2 linked regions of the Mytilus edulis genome follow. The protein of the gene in region 1 purifies or fractionates together with the protein of each later gene. This does not show direct contact. Links are inferred from orthologs where the notes say so. Each region holds a gene or a part of one and is shown on either strand. Other genes may lie near its edges.

The links. The genes of interacting proteins can lie anywhere in the genome.
Region 2: the proteins of exocyst complex component 1-like (region 1) and exocyst complex component 7-like purify together in Homo sapiens (affinity purification with mass spectrometry; 4 studies listed by BioGRID and IntAct, counting the BioPlex papers as one, with this or other methods). This does not show direct contact. The link is inferred for Mytilus edulis from reciprocal best matches to the Homo sapiens genes EXOC1 and EXOC7.

What each region holds. Positions count from the first base shown.
Region 1 is NC_092351.1:13,976,059-13,983,451, reverse strand, and holds the start of exocyst complex component 1-like, read left to right. Parts: upstream 1-4,383; coding exon 4,384-4,420; exon of another isoform or gene 4,421-4,489; intron 4,490-4,565; exon of another isoform or gene 4,566-4,814; intron 4,815-7,393. Other genes in the region: uncharacterized protein, read right to left, coding at 3,954-4,249.
Region 2 is NC_092352.1:1,656,934-1,664,954, forward strand, and holds the start of exocyst complex component 7-like, read right to left. Parts: upstream 3,012-8,021; 5' UTR 2,905-3,011; coding exon 2,854-2,904; intron 673-2,853; coding exon 507-672; intron 422-506; exon of another isoform or gene 363-421; intron 1-362. Other genes in the region: WW domain-binding protein 11-like, read left to right, coding at 3,430-3,493, 6,068-6,099, 6,344-6,437, 7,876-7,973. UniProt on the Homo sapiens protein: Component of the exocyst complex involved in the docking of exocytic vesicles with fusion sites on the plasma membrane.

The DNA.
Region 1 (7,393 bases):
AACATAACTAGAAATTCTTGCATTTAAACATTAAATGCAGTATTAAATAGGCTATTTATTGTCGTTTCATCATTTTTCTTATATTGTCTGTTTCTCTTAGACCTATAAAGTTTGATTGTTCCAATGATATATTCTGACTCTTCTTTTTTATAAACCGTAAGACTTAAATACATAACAAACACAATTGATGTACTAAAAATAAACAAGAAGATGCTGTATGATTGCCAATGTCAGAGACAACTTTCCACAAACTCTCCACAAGAGACCACCAAAATGACACAGAAATTAAACTATAGGTCATTGTATGGTCTTCAACAATGAGCAAAGCCTATACCGTATACCAGTAGTCACTGAGTCAGCTATAAAAGCCCATAAAATGACAATGTAAAACAATTAAAACTAGAAAACTAACAGCTTAATTTATACATGTACAAAAATTTTTATACTCTACTCTGAATTTTTAATAAAGGGATAGTTAAAATGATGTCATATCAAATAATAACATAAATGCTATATAAAAAAGTATTTTTTTTTGCATATTAGTAGTAGAATATTGGAATACAAATAAATACATTTATTTTTATGATATTTTTTACAATTTTAATAATTCTAGTCAGTCAATTTATGTAAACATATAAACAAATGAACCTTTGAATCCTTAGCATGCTTTAAAATTTGTACACCATTGTTTTTACTCATTCCAATTGCAAGCTAACTAGCAAAAAACTTAATAAAAAAATGACCTAAGTGAAATTGAGAATTTTACTAATTGCCTAAGGGACTATTTTCCTATTTTTTGCTTCAAACTGAAATGCGTGACTTAAATGTATATGCAATAAAAAACTGAAAGTGGAAAATGATTTTTTTCTCTCAAGAAATCAATTAAATGCTAAAACATACTTCTAATTAAGAAACACCAATAATGCATTTAACATGTTTAATATAAATCAGTGCTATAAGTGCTTATATGTCTTTAATCATGCAGCATAAAGCTGTTTTAAATTAGTTTCATATCCTTATTGATTCTAGGTATGTTTATAAAGCATAATACTCAGTACAATGTTTTATATGGATGATTTAAATCCATTCAAATCTTACATATCAGTTATTAAAAACCTAGATGATCAATTATTTTAAGGGTGATTGGATTTTTATAAACATATCATTTGATCTCCTTGTTTATAGGTTTTAAAATATTACATGGTGTTTTTGTTTTATTGTCAGAAATTTAAACTCAACAAAGATGGTCATAAACGATAAATAGTTTATTGTGGATATTAAAGTAGGGTTAGCACATGGTTAAATCAGGTATTGTTTTACTGCAGGTAATAAACATGTAGGGTTAAATATTGTGTTGGATTTAGAGACCACTTCAATAACATAATTGATAAATAATATTTTTTTTCTTCTTAATAAAGGAACATATCAAAATATTTTATACTGCAGACTTGTTTGTGATATTAAGAAATTGTTGTAAATGCTAAAACTTTTACTATTTTTCATATACAAAAAATTGGATCAAATAAATACTACTACTATAAAATTACTGTTTCTGGCCTTTACTGACTTTTTTCTCTCTCATTGTATATAGCTGATGATGTATTTTGAAACTTACATATATGTAGTTTTAAAATTATGTAAAATATTGTATATAATTAATCATTTACCTTAATAGTCTCTCATAATTCTTAATAGAATGGCACTTGTATATGTTTTAGTATTTTTAAGCTAATGATATTTTACAGTTAGTTTTATACAATATGTTTTATACATGTTATATATGTTATCCAATATTTCATGTTATACACAATGTTTTATATGTATATTGGAATGTATAATGTTATAAACAAGTGGTGAGACTTTAATAAAATATTGAATCTGAATCTCTCATAATTACCTATTTACCTAATTATATAATATCACATTTTTCATTTAGATATGTTCTTACAAGTTACAATGTCTTATGACATTCTGCAAAAGAGTCAATCTGAGTGTCAAGAATTAAACTTTAACTGTCATTAGAAAATATTAATTTGATAACAAAATTTGCCAATGAGGCTGATGCAGTAAATTATAAAGATGTATTTCTGAAAGCACCACTGAATACAACACTTCATTTAACAAATATAGTTTAGAACCATGCACAACTAGTCATTTAAAAAAATCATAGACTTTAAACAGCCAAAATACTTCTGGATGAATACATATCTTCTTGGTGTTTACCCGGTACTGCTTAGATTTTATCGAATTACATAGTAACTCAATATAAATCCTTAACTTACTTGCAATAGAGTGATTTTGAGTTTGTCATTCAGTTACATGTATGTGTGAAATGATTATTGAGTTATCTTTAATGAGAATGAATTTCTGAGAGGTATAATCTTACATAAATATACATCACAAACATGCAACTTTAAACATAGTACTAGTGAATACAATATGGCTGTCAATATTGGTCTCTTTCACATATATTTGCCATTTCCATTCTCAAATTTATTCGGTAATCAGAGGTGTGGACAGACAGAGAAAACATGTACATTGTATAATGTATGATTTAAAGTAAATTAACAGACTTCAGGTAAAATGCTGTTCCTTAATGAATCTTTTCCCCCCAGAAACTATATAATTATTCTTATTATATAATTCATGAAATAACAGTCAAAGTTTGAATTTGTGGTAGGATGAAAAATTATTAAAATAGACATGATAGAAATGCAGAACCAAGACTGACAGATTTCTTTAAATACATTTAAATAAATTTGTTAATTAGATTAATTTATGTTGTTATTTGTAAATAAATATATGTTGTCACATAGAATGATAGAATTGTAGATCCTTGTACATTTTATTAACATCTACATTTTTAAATTTTTAACTCATATGACAAATGTATGACATCATTACAGTTTGAAAACTATCTGAGACTAAAGGTAAATATTTGTTTCTGTTATTAACATGTTGTTAGTCAATGGAGAACTTGATCAGAAAAATACAGCACAATTTTCTTCATTAACAGACATTACGGCTATAAAAGTTTAATGTGAACTATAAAACCTGAGTTTTCCATTTACTAAATGTATAACAGTTCAGTGACAGTCTATACTAATCCCTGAATAGTTTATTATGTAAGCAGTCTTCACGCTGAGTGGCAGCGCAGGCTAGTTAAATTGCTCTCCTGCCTGTAAAAATCATATCTACAGGCCAACAGAATCTAACTAAAAATTTTCAAAAATAAAGCCTCGGGCCTGTATAGATCTAAAAGTTCGTTGTGAAGACTGTGTAGTCCTTAAAAAAACTGTCGACCCTAACAGTCCTTCCTATTCCTGATTTATTAATAAGCAGTCTCAATTAAGCCACTAGATTTTATAATTTTATAGACATTTGCGGCCATATCAGCCAACTGATTAGACCTGCAGATCAGGGACATGTACTGATTACATGTTCGCCCCGAGTTTGTTGGCCTATAGACATGATAGAGTCTGTTCGCCCAGGATTAATTTTGCTTTATGCTTTCATTAAAACATATTTATGTTACGGTTATTAAAGTTTAATAAATTTACGAAGAAGGTTGCAGCAATACAAATATTCAGCGATTTTTTAGTTCACTTTAACATACATTTGACAAGTTTAGTACTCTATTCAAATTATAAACATTCTGTGATTAAACATGAATAACAATGGAAAAAATTTTAAAAAAATACGGCGAATGGACCCTAGGTGAACAGATTTTGGGGCAAACAGACACAAGGGTAAGCATGAATCAGGGCGAAGGGACCATATACATTGTATCTACTGAGATATAGTTTAGAAATTAAGTTCCTTCATGTGTAGTGATAAAATATATATACCTCATAATTTATGATAAGAAATCATACCACAGTAAAACCATGATTTACAATGTTTGATTTGAGAATAAATATATTAGATTTTGCATTCTACAATATTTAACTTACTGACGTGGATGTGGCTTGTTTCGTCTACATCTGGATGAAGGACGTGATTGTGTTGCTTCATCTAAGAATTTCCCTTCAAAATGTGAATTGTAAGTTGTTGGATGGCGTGCTTGAGCTGACCAAATACGAGTTGCTTCATTTCTGATATTTAACAATTCATTATGATCTGGACCTGGATTATTGTACAATGCAAACTCCCTAAGTTTAGCCTTGTCAAGAGGCAAAGTTGCAGTTTTTGCTCTTCTCAAATTAGTAACAGGGTTTCCATAGCCCGGGAGAATATGACCCGTAGCCATTTTTTACTTTTTGTTATTTCTGTTTTTACGGCATGAGCAATTTCATGTATAAATACTTAACTTAATTAAACAAAATTTTCTGTAAAAACACCTGTGTTTACGCGCACCAAGCAACAAGATAAAACCGGAAGCGGATGTCATGCAGAATCTTATTTCCGGATGGAAATTACTGTCAAGTTATTTTTTTTTTTGTGAATTTTAGATGAAGTTTAGTGGAATAACATCTTATCTGTTAAAGAAGTAATCATTCTTTATTTCAATCTCATTCTTTTCGAACTCGCAAGTAAAACAAATCGTTAAGTAATTAAAAAAAACTGAAGTGGGAGGATGAAGTTTCTGCAGTTTGTTTATCAGTTTATGCTAAGACTTAGGATGATACACATTTAGTTAACTGGTATCAAGTCTTTTTTCTCCAAAAAGCCAGTACCTCCTAGCGTTCGCACCACACAAGTTTGACTCCTGAGTTTATGCACTCTTTGATTCGTTCCTGAAGGTGGCAGTTCCTGCTGGGTCATAAATACGTGGTCTTCACCCCACAGAAGCAACTCCTGATCAGGTTTTAGAAGTAAACTTATCACTTTCAAATATAAATAATTCCATTAGATATATGTTTCATTATAATACTTTATTATGATTGGCTAACTGGACATCACATGTTATTCCTTTAGCAATTGCATTGCTCAATAAAACTTTTCAGTCATGATAACACTGGTCCCACAATAAAGTGCACAGGTGAATTAAATAATAAATTATAAAATTCGTGTTTTCATGATCATAGCTAAAAAATGTAATTATAAGTATTGAATGCTTCTTTTTGTAACTTCATAGGGTTGTAAAAGCGTTGACCGTGCGCACATTTTTAGAATGAAGGGCTTTAGCGCTTCAAACAAAATGTACTTCGGTCAACGCTTTTACACCCCAATGAAGCTACAAAAAGAAGCATTGAATTCTTAAATAATAAAACGGTCTTAAAGAAATAAATGAACATTCATCAAATACATAAATTATAACTAAACATTGTTAAACATGTTAAAACAGCAACATAGTATTTGAGCATGTTTGAATAAAAATAAACAAAAAAAAAAACCCATTTAATGATAAATAATTGATCTGTCCAAACAAGGATTAGTGTTACTGTTACTTATACTATACAAATCCTTGATTGAAATTTAGGGGAATAACAAGGTTGCATTCTTTACATTTTGTTGTTCAAATTAATTAATGTTTAAAGATGTATCCTCGTCTCATGGGTTTTAGTGTTATTCAGAATGCATTATGACGTCACAATTTCCATTGAAAAAAGCATGCATGATACAAATTCATATTATTACACGAAAACATATGATCTACCATGCTAACCATACACATAATTTGATAATTCCGCCAAAGTGGTAACTTTGCCTGTCTGATAACTCTGCCCTTTCACCTCAGTGTGAAAACAATTCTTCTGCTATATTATTTCAATGAGTGTTTTGGGAATTTAAAGGTTCACGTTTGTGACTTTTTGTAAATAGTATAATAATTGCTAGCACATAACAGAAAAAAAAACAAGTTAGTAATCATTGTGCATGTTGTGTATAATTTTATAACAAAAATCTCTGTACTAAAGTAAAAGTGTGTGGATTTTCTACAAAAATCTTAGTTTTGATTTCTGCAAAATCCAAATTTCCTTCAAATGCAATGAAATGATAATTAAGGTAGATAGGGTGTCTTCCTCCATCTTGGATTTTGAAATACTAGAAAACAAGGTCTAGATCTTTGATGAAATGTTCAAATTTTTATAGTAGTAGGTAATTCATGTGTAAGAATTTTCATTATAATATAAAAAATGCCATGTTTGATCATATTTATGATTGTATTTTACAAAAATAAGAATTCTTTTGTTTGATTCATTTTTTTCCAACTTTGTCAAATAAGGGGAGGCAACTCAAATGCAAGGGCAGATAATTCAGATAGTGTTACTTTTACAATAGAATGTGTTAGGAATTTACCCATTTTTACATGTAGCAAGAAAACGAGTCTGGTGACCCCATTTTTTCTTTTTCTTATCTGAAAGCATAATATCGAAGCTATCTTCTCATATTTTATCTCAAAATTCTATGGTGTGGTTTGCGTTTTATGGCGGAAAAATGGGTTTTCCATGCATAATCTATACAAAATCTTGACAATTTTGAACAACCTGTAGCTTGAAAATAAGTCCGGTGACCCATTCTTTTTATTAATGTTTTTATACAAGCAGGATATGAACTACATTTTGGCAAATTATTAAAAGATTCTATGGATTATAATTTAGACACCCCATCTACCTTAATGATGTTTTCCATGAAGTTTCCCTTTAATATATACAAAATGGTCTCTCTTTTATTCATAATCTTTGCTTGATTGATACTATTGCAGTTAAAATTTATAATTCACATGGCTACAGAAGGGGTCACAACCTTAAGAAATATATTGACTTTGAAATAAAATTGTGCTATATTAAATTCCCTATCTAATGCACAGACTTTGAACCCATTTACAATTTCAAGGATGATGGTCAACAGTCAGGGGACTTACTGAAATAAGTGATTTTTAAATCACTTATTTGAGAAGCAAATTCGAGGTTTTGTCACAAATTGGGATTTTGTAGTTTTTTCAAAATTTTAAACACATAGGTTTAAATAATATCTTTTAATTATTAAAATTAAAAAATAGGAACTTTTGGCTTCTTTTAAGTAGCAAGGTTTATGCCTTTGATGCTATCATTTAGCTGAAAATTCTATTTTAGTTGAAAAAATGCTATAATAATGGCTTTATATAATGAACTGATACTTTCTTAAAAGATTTTTCACAGCAGTGGGAGTATTTTTCCAGTGAAGTTCAAGGTTTCATCTTTCAGATTATGTAATAAAATTCTACTGTTCGCGATAAAAATATCACTGTTCGGGGGGTGTTGAAATTAGTAGGGGTTATTACAAGAATGATACTTAAAGAAGTGATTTTTGGGAAGGAAATTGAGGTCTGGTACTTAAACAAGTGATTTTTATGTCATTATCCTAGATTCAGTACAAGGTCATCACCTGAAATGACCTGGTCATCCTAGACAACACAGATGCTGGTTCTGATAAGTTTAGAAACATAATTAGTCCCTGGATCATTAGTATT
Region 2 (8,021 bases), on another chromosome or scaffold:
CCAGGTCTAAAATTTCACATTTTTCACTTAATCACAAAATGTGGTTAAACTGTTGTTAAAACTATTATATATTAGAAAGTTCACAAAAATATGGTCACACTGGCATGAAATAAAACATTTTATACATTCCTTATAATATAAGTTCCAAATGGAAGAAATATTACAGTATTTGTTTATATAAACAGAACGAAGGTTATAGGATATTTGTTCCAAAAGGAACAAATATTATGGTGTTGTTTATTATCGAGCATCTGAGCTAACAGGGGAACTTTTGTAATGTAGACAAATATACATTGATAACACCATCCTTCTGATCTGTATTTTGGATAGTTCATTAAATCATGAAAAGATGATGTACATACTTTGTATCTTTGTTCTGTACTGAAGTATCCTAGACATCGATCTAACATCAGAGCTTAAACTAAAACATGATCAAAGAACCATGAAATTAAGGTAGCACAATAAAATACTATACATTTTTATAATTTTGATTATAAGAAGGATACTCTCTTGTCTGCGTCTCAACATTTCTGTTTCATTGTAAACAGGTTCTATTGTACTTTCTAACTTCTGTAAACGATTCTCAAAACTATTAAGTATCCCTAGCATACCATGGGTGTTTGTTCTACTTTTGTTCATGGCCTCTTTAAGTATTGACAAATTGTTCTTCTCCTAAAATAATATAATTGACATAGTTAGTATTTATTTTTTTTAAACCTTAAGATTCTTCAGTTGACAGGTCAATGGATAGCTATAGGGTTACAATTATTTGCATGCAGAAATGTATCAAAAGTACCAGAAAATTTTAATAGCTGGGGCCACCCTTAAAACAATGTTTGTTTGGTATTGCCGACTCACACTATCAGCAGGTGGGTACATTAGTTTTGACTGTTTGAAATACTGGCTTCACAGGCTGTTGAAGAGTTACAATGTATGCAAATAATACATAGAAGAAATTATCATGGACATCTGATAGTACAAAGTAAAATCGCAAAAATACTAAACTCAGCGGAAAATTCAAAATGGATAGGTCTTAATCAAATGGCAAAATCAATGCACAAAGGCATCAAATGAATGGATAACAACTATCTTATTCCTGGCTTGGTACAGGCATTATCTTATGTAGAAAATGGTGGATTAAACCTGGTCTTATAGCTAGCTAAACCTCTCACTTGTATGACAGTCTCATAAAACAAGGATGCTATTAAAACATGTTTTCCTTGTGGTAAATGAATAACATGGTGTGCCACTAGTGTAGCAGGACCTGTCTACTCTAACAGGGGACAAGGCCTAAAAAAGCTGCCTTATCCATAGTTATAAGTTAGCTTTGCGTTGTGTGTCTTAAATTCATGTAAATATTTTGTTGACCAGTGTTTGTCATTTTGTCTTTTTTTCTCTTTGACCATACATACAATATGTAAGTACAACTACAACAGCAATTTGTATTTGTCAATTCAAATGTGCTTTATCCTAGAATAATTAGACGTCACAAATCATTTCACAATATCCTTAGACCAATTGGGCAGTTCATTGATTAAATCTACTTATTACATATATATTAGAAACTAGTCTATTGGGAGGCAAGAAACAGATTTTATTTTACCCCATTAATGCAACAAATAACATACTGAAATGTTTCCTGCTACGTAAACATTTTGTACATTGGAGGTTGATAAGGTAGTTGCACCAAATAATTTTATTATTACAGATTGGACAATTTCCATGTGATAAATTATAAATCATCCCTTTGTAAATTTTACGGAAGCCATCACTAATTAGTTGACCGTTATCATGGTTATGGAATATCAATTTCACAGATGATATACATGTAGCAGATATGAGCCTTATGTGGTAAGTAATTTAGTACAAGCCTGTTCCCTTTTCAAGAGTATGAAATACTGCTTTGACTTAAATATGACATGTACATGTATGACCTGGTTTCTACTAACATGAGAAACACAAGAGGTGCCGTACGTGGAGCAGGATCAGCTAACACTTCCAATGCACCCGCGATCTTCTCCAGTTTTTAGTGGGGTTTGTGTCAATTAGTCTTTATTTTTTTATGTTGTGTTTGGTGTACTACATGTAGATTTGTCAGTCTTTTTTGGTGTTATCAGTTTATTAATAGACCAGCAGCTGAAGTGAGCTGTTCCATGTTATCAATACATCGTATCCCTATTTGGAAATATGTCCCGTTTGACCAGAGAATCTGCTCCGCTTGAACTATTGACATCATGTAACAATCACTTTTCAATTGTGGCTTCAGATATTTTGTATTATGACGTCAAAATTTAACAGGAACCTTTGTGATGTCCTGTAATGAGATGCAAATAGTATATATGGTACCTGGGGAACTGGTTCCACTGTCAAATTGTATATAGAAAGTTTGAATGACTGTAAAAGTCCATGGATGTATGTATGTTGAGGGCAGCTAAGAGGGGTCCTGATCCCGAAATCACAGGCTTAAAAACACGAAATCCTGAGGTCCTGAATATAAATAAATTCGAGTTTCAATGTGATCCTGAAATCCTGAGCTTAAAAACACCTGATCCTGGAGTCCCGATAAAGATCCTATCCTCCCACTATGTTGTTATATGAGAGTTAATGTTTTTTTTTCTAGTTCTTGAGTCTGCTTTAAGGTTTAAGTGAAATTGGTTACCCTTTGACTAAAATGGCTGCGTTTTCACCTCAAAATTTGCAATGAGTACAGACAAACATCTGCATCTGGAAAATTTGAAAGTCATAGCAACCTTATGAGTATGACTGATCAGCTGCTGATGGATAGCAAATGTTATGATCCACCCATATAATTTCAATCAAGGCATCATGAAAAAAACTATAGAAAAATCGTACTTTTTCAAGCTTCATGTCGATGTCTGCTTTGAATATCTTTGTCTGTGACATTTTGTGGTCGCTTATTACTCCTAAATGGCAAAACAAAGCAATTTTCTTGAGCTTCCTGGGAAGCAGACAGCTAATTTTTATGCATTCGTAGTCAATTTGATTTTTGTGTAAACCATAACAATTTTCCTTTGATAAAGCATCAAAAAGAGCAAGACTATGTCGTAATATTTTTTTATTTTATTTTTATTAAATACAGAAATATTTTAAGATATAAATGCGTTTTATATTAATTCAAACGGTATATTCAGCCTATTCTTATATGCAAAAAATTAACAATAACAAAACTTTTTTATTTGCAACATTAGCTCCACTTACGGCAAGATAAAAATGGAAAAAAATATCACGCTTTAAATTCGACGTTTAAATGAATATTGTAGTATCAATTGAGCAGGACTACAACTTTTATCAATTTTCAGATATGTTGTTGGTTTCAGTTTAGCACTCAATCCTATTTGCAAGTTACTGCGACTGACAGCAAACTTTGTAACATTATTTTGAAGTTGGTGTCATCACGCAGATACCAACATGGGACGCCGCTCAATTAACACCACTAAAAGTGGGAAATATATGAATCCCACTGACCAAGCCAGTAAGTACCCTATAACTAACAATTTTTTTAATTGAACTTCAAAAAGAAGACTTATAAACACAATTCAAACAAGCATCAACATGTACATTGTACAACGATCCATCAGCACATCGCAAAGAGACATGAGAGAAACATACAAGCATATACTACCCTTGATAACCAATTCACTTTGAAAACTCATAAACCTAAAAAAACAGCCTATATATATATATATATGTAGGACTTAAAGTGCAATGTGGACGCTAAAGTACGATGGTCACGCTAAAGTGCTATGGTCTTTGCTAAAGTGCGATGCCTACACACGCTAAAGTGCGATGGTCAGCGATAGTATAGAAGTAATAAACGTACTATGGATTATGACGTGTCGTTTATACAAAAAAAATTAACATGCTGAAAGATAAACGTAGAATATTTGATTGACAACTTTAGCCAAATGTCCATGACTTACTTAATTTAAACCTACCCGTGCTTTGTCTGCTGATGCAAATGGTTTTTTTTATCGGGTGCTGGAAGAAGGACTTGTGTTGTCACGGAATAGAAGTTCCTTCATAATATAAGTTCCAAAAGGAAAAAATATTCTGGAAGTGGTATAGAATATTTGTTCCAACAAGAAAAGATATTATGACAATGTTTATAACAAAGTTTCCATTGGAACTTCTGTTAGGCAGAACAAATATACGTTGACAGTGTCTTGCATTTTACTATACAGATACAAAATAATACCAGTCTGCACAGTTAGCCACTAGTCCGATGCCCAAGACTAGTAAAATTTTATATGGACTAGTAAGTTATTGCAAAACTTTGTTGGACCAATAAGAAAAATGTTGGAATATTGGTCTTCATACTAGTAGTTGAAAAAGTTTTTGGTGCAGACTGTTATAGCCACAAGTAATAGTATACTTTTTCTTGCTTCTATTAGAAGGTAATGTTAACTGATACATTGAAATCATTGTTTATGTTACAGTTTACTTTGCGGTCCCTGTTAAAATATTGTCAATTTATTGAAAAGTCGGTAAAGTAGAGGTACATGTTTTCATGCATAAATCATAAATTGTCTGCTAAAGCATTATTTTGTACATTTTAGGAAAATACAACCTGTATTTGTACTCGCTGTGAAAAAGGAGAAAGCTCGGAGAACATTGCATTTCTCTCTCATTTGAATTAAGATTTAAACAAATAAATGTTACATGACATGAATGAACGAATTTTGTATTTGTAATTTACGATGACAAGGTGATCACATAAGGGATAGACTACATGTACATGTGAACTGCAAGCTATGCTAATTATCAAAATATTTGATATGCCTGAATTTAAAAAAAAAATCCTACTAGCTTTTGCAAAAAGACTATTAATTAACATCTGTGTTCTTTTTCTTTTTTTTTCCATCCGTGTTCTTCAACGTTTTTTGCCAGTCAACATTACCCTTTTGGTCCATCACACTTCAGTGTGATATTCCATCGAACTTTAGCAAACAAATATCCATCGCACTTTAGCGTGATACACCATCATACTTTAGCGTAGACCATCGCACTTTAGAGTCCTACATATATATATTATAAGAAGTAGATTAACAAAAAAACTGAACCCCAAGGCAAAAAATCCCTTATTAAACAGGAACTTTTGTGATTTTACTCATTGAGAGATAAATTTGCATACAAGTGTAAATACGTCTATCATGTCTATTGGTAAAAGCAGTATAACACCATATTTTATTTTCAAGGTAGTTTTTCGGAAACATCTATTTGTTATCTGGTCATTACTCTATTCTTGGGAGTTCTCTTGGAAATCTTAGGACCCTTATCAAATTGCAAAATTAAAAGATCAAATCCATTAAATGAATGTAATTCCTGACTTGATACAGGTATTTTCTTGTGAAGCAAATGTTGGATCAAACTTGGTTTATGAACTGTTCCCAGAAATGCAAACTGATATCATTTATCCATAATTGTTACAAATTAAAGTTTGGACCAAAATAACTGATTTATGATTAGTACTCTACCTGTTATAGCTATATATATATATATACATGATATATACTATGGTTCATTATCATCTCTGATCAGGCTGATGATCAGGCTGAAAATCAGTGCTGATCAAATATTTTTTCATTTCTCTAAAGAAACATGTATTTGTAAAAATAATAAAGAACAAATTCTTTTCAGTAATTGCCCTTGGATAGATAAAATATGTGCGACACAGGGGACATTGGAACTCTGCTCTTTTATATATACAATGTAGCTTGTTAAAGATAAAACCTCTCTCGTGTAACAGAATAACTAGTAATTTTGTTTGCTCTCTTGATGACTTTCTAAGATCATACTCTTTATCTTACAATGCTTATGTTATTACCTTTCAGTAAGAACCAGTTGTTGGATTATGTCATTTACAACATGTACAACATCTCCGGTTGGCTGGTGCAACTCATTCTTAATGACAGAATTTTTGGGGTTCTATTTATCATGTTTATGAGTGAGTTACATAAAGCATTAAAGAAAAAAATGATTCTTTTATCATGCTGGTTGTTGAAGTAAATTAGTGTTAATGTCTTGTATCATATTTCTATTTTTACAGGAAAAGAGGCAAGAAAGAGGGAATTAAAAAAGGTAACTATTTACCATGTTTACTATAATTTCAGCTTTTAATTTATAAAAAGTTGCTGTTCCCGTTATTTCAGATCAATCAAAATAGCCCTGAAATTTATTTAAAATTTTTAACTTTTAACTTTTGTCCAATGATACATATATATGATAAACAATTCATGTTTTATAGTTTGATATGTATGTCAATTAAAAAATTATTGTAAAATTTGTTTCCCTTTATTTGAAATGATTTATGTTTTAATTGTAGAACAAGAAGCAGCGTATGCTAGTACGACAGGCTGTATTAAAGGGAAAAGATCCACTACAGTTACTGACAGAGATGGAAATTATCGACAAGATGGGTAAAAAATATAAACTTGAAATGATAATTATAGTAGAAATCAAAAACATGTGGTGAAAGTTATTAATCCACACAAAAAAAACTGTAAAAACCATTATACTGGACAACATAGAAATATATTAAAACCTCAAACCAAATTCCAAACACACTCTATAATCCGCTATTCAGTTTTATTCTTGACATCTATCAAATAGTAACAATTGATGGTGTAATAAAGTTTTTTTTCATAAATATACATAATCTTCATATTCAAAGTTAGAATAGCAAAATAATAGAGAAATTATGTATTAATGATAAATAATGTATACTAACAAAATTATAAGTATATACCTGAGGATACCCTAGTCTTAAGGTACTACCTGAGGATACCCTAGTCTTAAGGTACTACCTGAGGATACCCTAGTCTTAAGGTACTACCTGAGGATACCCTAGTCTTAAGGTACTTATACACAGGGATCTCCACTGAAATAGCTGTACAAGTGAAGAAATCTGTTAACAGCATGTGCCATTATATTGTTGTTGAATAAGAAAAAATCAAAAAAATCATAAACCAACCAACTTCTCAAAGCACAAGAAGACCTAATGCATATCATATAAATTTCTTTTTTTGAGTCTGAAAGAAGGGAAAGGAAGAAATCTGCTACTGATGCGTAATATTCATGACATATTCTGTTTCTTTTTATATATATATCACAAGTATTTAAACTTATACACTATGGTATCGAACAGTGTTCTCCTCAGAAAGTTCTAATATCATCCTGGCAAACAGGAAATTTTGAAATACCATCTTGTTTCTAAAACTTATAGCATCACATCCATAACACTATCTTTAAGAAAATCATTTCTGATAGCATCACATCCTACATATTCTAGCAATATAGTATCACATTACCTTGAGGGAAAAGGCTTTCGGGAAAGCACTGTTGAATGAATATGTGTTTGATTATATGTGTGATAAAATGCAATTTTGGCCCTTTGACTGTCTGTTTTGAGGTTCTTAATTGATTAAATAAAATAGAGGATTGAAGAGTTAGGTCAGGACATCTAATTGAGTACCATATATTCCCAAAAAATCTGGAAATTTGGCAGATCTGTTGTCTATATACCTTAATAAACTAATGTTCCTAAAAACAGGAAAGTTTCTAATATATCTAAGTGAACTAAAGTTGGTGAAAAAAACAAATGATAAATTGGTGTTGCCACAGTTATCTTATAAAGGGAAAGATATATGTCATGTGTGTGTATGGATGTTTTGTTATTTCTTTCTGTGACTGACAAACAATATAAAAAAGAAGATGTGGTATATTGCCAATAAGACAACTCTGCAAAAGAGACCAAATAACATAGAAATTAACAACTATAGGTCACCGTACTGCCTTCAACAATGAGCAAAGCCCATACCGCATAGTCAGCTTTAATGTCTTTTTATTATTATTCAGAATATAATCCAGTGGAAGCACCATTACTGAATGAAAAAGTACTAAAAGATAAAAGAAGAAAATTGAAGGAGACTTTCCAGAGAGTTGTCAGGTTATATGTGAGTTTGTTTTTATCAATTTAACAAAATATGGTACTGAGTGTGAGT